2 linked regions of the Coturnix japonica genome follow. The protein of the gene in region 1 interacts with the protein of each later gene in a pairwise test. Links are inferred from orthologs where the notes say so. Each region holds a gene or a part of one and is shown in the gene's direction. Other genes may lie near its edges.

Region 1 (4,263 bases):
AGTCAGTTCCAAAAATAAATTCCCCATCTGATTTGTGCTAAAGCTTTAATCTCATTACTTTTGGACGGTGATAACAGATCAAAGGTATCTATAAGATGGTAAGATTTCAGGCACCGATGTGTTTCGTTGAGCCTATTAAGTTACATAAGAATAATAAAATGCCTGTTCTGAGTGAATAACCTGTCATGGTGATCAACTTAAAGAATTGGTGGCATCAGCTACACAGTGCAGCACCCACAGCAGGGAAAATCCCTGCATGAAGGACTGCAAGTTTCATCAGACAAGAGAAAATGGCTTATTATACTGCTGCCCAGATTTACCTGTCAACATAAAAAACTTAAGTGCTACATAAAACAGTACGATGTTGGCTTAGCAATGTGTCAGAACGAATGGTGTGAATGACCAGACCCTTGCAATCATTCCTATTGATGGCAGCAGGTTCTAAACCAGGCTTGCTTAATCGCATACTGCAGGCAATGCAAAGCACAGAGAAAAAGCCATGCTCAAATGCCAGAGATACAGACGCTGGACCTACACCCAAACACAATTAATAATGCATGTCTCCATTCTCGAGACATTCAAACCACCTATTTGTATACACGGTCAGTATATTGGAAAGAGCATCATACATCTCTTTCATTACCTCGGGGAACATTCAGTGCATTCCTTTTTACCCTTTCCCTTGTATTTCTTCAAGGAAGCAATGCATAGGATCTAAAATCAGCACTTGTGATCAGACACGCTATATGCTGTGCTATCATAATTCTAAATATCCAGAAAACTTGGCAGATGGCAATTTTCCTCCACGGAGACTGTAGCAGGGGTGGCAGGGGAGTGAAGTGCTTCAAGAAGCTCCTACACGCCACGTTCAGTAACTGCACTTACAGGCACGCCCACAATTAACTAAAACAGTATGACTTTTCCTAACTGTGAAGGCAGCCATCCATCAAAACACCAAGCCAATGAGTTCTGAGTCATCTCCTCTCACCCTAAGACTTCATTTAGGATTCCAGTCCACCTCCTCTGACCCAAAACCTAATTAATCTGAGGAATCCCTCAGGGACGGCTCACATTTATTTCCCCATAAGCGAACCCCCTCCGCCTCCTCAGACTGCTCCCGGAGCGGGGCGGGGCGGAGGCCCGGCCCCTCACAGCAGCGTTACTCCGTTGTTAGGCAACGGCCGTGCAACAAGCGGCTCCCGCACAACGCCCCACCGCCCCCACCGGGCACACAGGGCACACAGAGGCCAGGCCAGGCCAGGCCAGGCCCCGTTCCCCCGTTCCCCCGTTCCCCGCTCCCCGCACCGCCTGCCGGGCCCATCCCGTTCCCCGCCGCTCAGCCCCGCGGAAGACAGCGAGGCCGCCCGCTCGCAGCCCGGGGCGGACGCTCGACCTCCGCTCTGCGGAGCCGGGAATGGGGCAAAACGGAGCGAGGCAGCACCGAGCGCTGACCCGCCCGCACCGCCGCTCACCGGCACACACAGCCCCGTCCGCCTCCCGCGCCGGTCGCCACCTCCCCGGAAGCCGGCGGGCGGCTTTCTGCCGTCCCGGAGCTCATTCTCGCTAGCGCCGCCTGTCGCCGCGGAGGACCCGGCCCGGCCGCTTGGCCTCCACCTCCCGGCTTCCCCGGGCCTGCGCGGACCGCAGCAGCTCCCCGTTCCGCCCGGCGAGTCGCGGCCTGGCTCGGGCCGCTGCGGCTGCGGAGGGGTTGGGCGGAGCGGGCGCGGGGCGCGATGGCGGCGGCGAGCGGCTCGTCCGGGAGCGGGATGGCGCAGAAGACGTGGGAGCTGGCCAACAACATGCAGGAGGCGCAGAGCATCGACGAGATCTACAAGTACGACCGCAAGCAGCAGCAGGAGATCCTGGCGGCCAAACCCTGGACTAAGGAGTGAGAGCGGGGCCGTGGGGCGGGCGGGAGAGCGGGCGGCGGGGCCGGGGGTTGAGGCGAGGCGAGGCGAGGAGAGGCCCTGAGCGCTAAATCGGCCTCTGTCCCGCCGCAGCCACCATTACTTCAAGTACTGCAAGATCTCGGCGCTGGCCCTGCTGAAGATGGTGATGCACGCCCGCTCGGGGGGCAACCTGGAGGTGATGGGGCTGATGCTGGGCAAGGTGGACGGGGAGACCATGATCATCATGGACAGCTTCGCTCTGCCGGTGGAGGGCACCGAGACCCGCGTCAACGCGCAGGCGGCCGCCTACGAGTACATGGCCGCCTACATCGAGAACGCCAAGCAGGTATGCTGCGGTGGGGGGGATATGGCGTTGCTCTTAACTTCTTGCTTTTGGAAGTCTTAAGTCTGAAAGTGCAGTAAAATTCTCAATTGCGGAGGGAGGGTGGTCCTCCCTCTCTGCCCCAGTAATGCCACAGCTGAAGTATTCTGTCCAGTTCTGGGCTCCTCCGTTCAAGAAAGACAGGGAGCTTCTGGAGAGAGTCCTGCAGAGCGCCACTAAGATATGAGGGTTCTGGAGCATCTCCTGCATGAGGAAAGGCTGAGAGAGCTGGGACTGTTCAGCCTGGAGAAGGCTGAGGGATCTCATTACTGTTTATAAATATCTAAAGTGTAGGAGTCAAGTGGACACAGCCAGACTCCTTTCAGTGGTATGCAGCAACAGAATAAGAAGCAACAAAACAAATCTGCAACACAGGAAGTTCCATACAAACAGAAGGAAGAACTTTATCATCAGAGTGATGGTGCCCTGGAACAAGCTGCCCAGAGGGGTTGTGGAATCTCCTCTGAAGATATTCAGAACCTGCTTGATGTTTTCCTCTGACCCACTATAGGCAATCTGCTTTTAGCAGAGGGGTTGGGCTAGATGGTTATCCCCAGAAGTCCCTTCCAATCCATACAACTATGTGATTCTGTGAAATATTAATCTGCTCTGTGGCTGATGCAGAAGCTGACATGGCATATGAGCACTTGCTGGCTCAAATAAGCACTGGAATCCCTCAGACTGTCCAAGCTCAAATAGTTTGAGGCCTAGTTTACCCTTTGATTTGTCATTAATCCTTAAAGTATTTTAACTCAGCTGAAATTAGAGGGTCCTTACATAGTGTAGATAAAGGTACAACTATTTAGGTTATTTTGGAGAGGTGTCACAGCTTTCTGTGGGTTTAAGGACATTTAACTAAATTAGGTTGGATCGTGACTTCAGAAGAGAGTAAATACAGCCCAAAGGTAAGGATGTTCTAAGGCCTGTGGTGGGTTTTTTTGTTGTTTTTCGTTAACTTATCACGCTTCTTTATGAGAAAATTTCTAAGTGATCTATTTAACGTATTACTTTAATATATTATTACTTATATTATTATTACTTTAATATATTATTAAAGTAATGATTTATTGTATTCTTACTGAAAAGTATAGAAAATGAAAGGGTGTTTATATCTGAAGATACGTTTGTACTACCCAGTTCTTAGGTAGAAAAATTGTCTTAAGTATAGAGCATGGCATCGGTATTTACATGTACGGTTAGTTCATTTGACTTTTAGAACAGCCCAGGTTTATATGGGAGAATTCATGATACGAAAATAAAGCAAAAACAATAACTCAGCTTTACTGGAGCTCTGACAGTGCGTCCTGGCTGCTTCACATCTGAGGTTGGAAAGCACTTTGTCCTGGAGTAACTCTTTTTAATGTTAGATTACATGTTGATAATAAGAGCACTCTGCATAAGTGCTCTACAGAAGCTAATGTTGCAATTACTTGCTCCTCCATAGGCAGGATCTGATGATAAAATAGTTAAAAGAAAAATGTTATTTGTTTCAACGACTCAAATGTTCAGTTGGGTAGATCGTGTGTTCTGTCCCTCTTAATAGTTTCCAGATTTAACCTTCCTGGTATGCTCAGTATTTGGCAAAACCAAGCAGCTGAATGCATTGAACACACTGCCATGTAGGATGTACATAAATCCTTTCACTCAATATTGATCAGCCAGTACACAGTTCTTGGCCAGTTACAATAAACTAGGTGCGCTGGCTGTTTATTCACCGTGATTAACAATCAATTTTGATTGGTTTTGTTTGTTTGTTTGGGGTACTTGCTGAGATATCCCGGAGTATTATTTGGGAACTTCTTTTATAGTTAAGCAAAATAAAGTGCATGTTGAATATTTCAAGTTAGCATACAGGCTGTGTATATTCTTTTTATCCTCTTGCTGCGTTGTAGTGTGCTGGAAGGCTCAGTAGAGGGCAGCCCATGCTTTACGAATGAGGATCATCACTGGATTTGTTTTCCTTCACTGCTGTTAGGTTGGTCGTCTAGAAAA
Region 2 (2,799 bases), on another chromosome or scaffold:
CACGATGCATGATGAGCATCCCACCCTGCTGGCTCTGCTCATGCCTTGCACCCACCTTGCTGCTGTATCCCCATCTCCATTCCACCCCAATGGCAACGGGACAGCAGCACCCAGCAAAGCAGCATCACAAAGGGCAGCCAGGGGCTCACAGTGTGTGCATGCATGTGTCCCTTCTCACCTGGGACATGGACATATATAGGGCATACCTGTCTCCTCCCACCCCCACGTGGCACCGCCGTGTCCCTTCACACCTCCCCATATGTTACATGTGTCCCTTTGCACCTCCCCAGCTGTGCATCCATGTCGCATCCCCACGCAGGTGCAAATTTGTCCCTGCATCCTGCCCAGCCAGACACGCAATTATTGCCACTTATTGCAAGAACTGCTGCTCCATCCCCACGCCAGCAGGGACCCCTTTGCAGGGAGGTGCACGTATCCTGCTCCTCACACAGACTGCTCTTTGTTTCACCATTTTACAAGCCATGTTCCTCCTGGAACAAGTTCCTCCTGGAGAGGGAGGTGTGAAGAGAAGCTGTTTCACCACCTCCATCCTTCCCATCTCCTAATATCCCTAATGGGCATCACGGGTTTTCTGCCCTCCCATGAGCAAGGATAGGGCAAAGGGCTCCAGCACTGCACGGTGGGGCTGCCCAAGGGGGTTCTCCCCTCTAACACACACAGCATTCTGCTCCCAGCCCCACAACCGGGTCCCTGTGGGGTCCCCACAAGCAGTGACACCGCCATGACCCTGGGAGGAGCAGTTGGCATTGATTGCCAATGCCAATGCCAACAGTTGCTGTCATCAGGCAGCAATCATTGCTGCTGGGAAGTTCTGCCTGGGAGGCTTCCAGCACTCAGCATGTCCCAATCTGCAGAGGTTTGATGTCTGCTGGACTGATTGACATGGGATGCTGGTTGCTGACCGGGTTGGGATGTATCCCCCAGCAGCCCTGGGCAGGGGGGCAACCATCTCCATCCAGAACCAAACATCAGGGCAGACACCACATCCCTCTTGGAATGAACCACATCTACAGTCTTACCACCATCACCCTATGGAGACCCTCACCCACAATGTCCCATAGGCTCCAGCAAAACCCCTCTTTCTTCATCTCCACCAAGAACCCCAAATGGGGAATCCCCTGCAGCCCTACAGACCTGCTCAGCTGGCTCCCTGCAAAGGTCTCACTCGGTGTTTCCTTGTTTTGCCCCAACGAGTCTGATGTGTGTCCCTCCCTCCTTACCGCCAGCAGCAGTCGCTTACCGGAGCTGGGCATGATCCTGGGCGTGCTGCGTTCTTCGCGATGGCCTTGCACAATTCCTGAGGTTATCACCCCAAAGTTATTCCAAGGTGTCATAAATCGTAACTCAGGGAGGGTATAAAAGAGCCCTCCCAGCACCGCGCAGCCACCGCCGCAGCCACAATCCTGCTCACACCGCTGTCAGAGGAACCCCACGACCGTCTGTTGGTGAGTGGTCACCCCCAGTTGGAGCTCCTGGAGGGCTCTGCTTCATCTATAATGTTTGCTTGGTTTTTATTCCCTAGTGTGATGAAGACCGACCTGGAGCTCGCGCTGGAGTGCGCCATCAATATCTACCACCAATACGCCATTCGGAACCCAATGGATGATTACCTGAGCCGGAATGAGTTCTCCATGCTGCTGAAGGAGAATGCCAAACCCTTCCTCTCTGACACTGTGCCGGTGAGTTGGGCTGCTCAGCATCCACGTGCCTGTGGGAGATCCGTGGGTGCTGCTCTCCTGGGGCACAGGGGAGCTGAGACCCTCTGAAAGGGATTGAGACCCTCTGAGGGGGATTGAGACCCTCTGAAGGGGATGGAGGATGAGCTGGGTAGTTTTGGGTGGACTATCCCCAAAATGGGGTCAGTGATGGGGAGTGGGGAGCCAGGATGAAGCTGTGGGGTTGTGGGGGACCCCATGCCCTGACTCGTTTTGTCCTGCAGCCCAACGTGTCCATTGATGAGTACATCAAGCAGCTCTTTGCCAAATCTGACAGCAACCACGATGGCCGCCTGAAGTTCACCGAGTTCCTCACCACGCTCAGCCTCGTGGCCATCGATGCCCACAACCGGTCCCACAAGCAGCCTGGGGACCATGGCCACGACCATGGAGATGGCCACAGCCACGGCCACGGCCACAGTCAGCACCATTAAGGCTGTTCCTGCAGAGCTGCCCTCCTCCAGCAGCAGCATCACCCCTATCTGCCCAAGGGGTGCCTTCTGCTTTTGCCTATGACACTGAAATAAATTGTCTTTCCCTGTGCACCAAATTCAACTGTGATGTGTCCTGCACTCTAGGGAGGGGGGGAATGGGACATGTTCCAGCCCAGCCTGCAGCCATGGGGTATCAATGAGACATGGGGACACGGGAATACACAGGGCATCCCCATCCATCCTACTGTTCCCTGAGTGGGAGCAGAGCAGCGCACAGCTCATGCTGGGCTGGTTCATGTGGCAGCATTGCTGTGTCCTGCAGTGCCCACACCCCAGTAGGTTCCCACCAGATCCACAAGCCCCTTGCACAGCATTGCTTGGCCCCTGCACCCCACACCTCATCACTGTGTGTCCTGAGCAGCCCCTCCTGCCCCAATCTGGGATCTCTGGGTGCTGCTGAGACCCAACTCAGCTGGTAACCCTGAAGTGGAGGTGATGCTTTTGCAGCCCACAAAGCAAGCAGCACTTTCCTGCAAGCCACCATGCATCAGAGGGGCAACAAATGATGCAGAGGGACTCTGGGGGTGCAGTGCTGCACTGTGCAGCCTCATGCTTTGTCTGTGCAGGGT

What was found. The genes of interacting proteins can lie anywhere in the genome.
Region 2: the proteins of COPS5 (region 1) and protein S100-A9-like interact in a two-hybrid assay, tested with the Homo sapiens proteins (2 studies listed by BioGRID). The link is inferred for Coturnix japonica from reciprocal best matches to the Homo sapiens genes COPS5 and S100A7.

The regions. Positions count from the first base shown.
Region 1 is NC_029517.1:104,436,230-104,440,492, reverse strand, and holds the start of COPS5 (COP9 signalosome complex subunit 5), read left to right. Parts: upstream 1-1,366; 5' UTR 1,367-1,733; coding exon 1,734-1,888; intron 1,889-2,000; coding exon 2,001-2,235; intron 2,236-4,246; coding exon 4,247-4,263. UniProt on the Homo sapiens protein: Probable protease subunit of the COP9 signalosome complex (CSN), a complex involved in various cellular and developmental processes.
Region 2 is NC_029540.1:1,212,546-1,215,344, reverse strand, and holds protein S100-A9-like, read left to right. Parts: upstream 1-1,337; 5' UTR 1,338-1,466; intron 1,467-1,543; 5' UTR 1,544-1,547; coding exon 1,548-1,700; intron 1,701-1,960; coding exon 1,961-2,170; 3' UTR 2,171-2,287; downstream 2,288-2,799.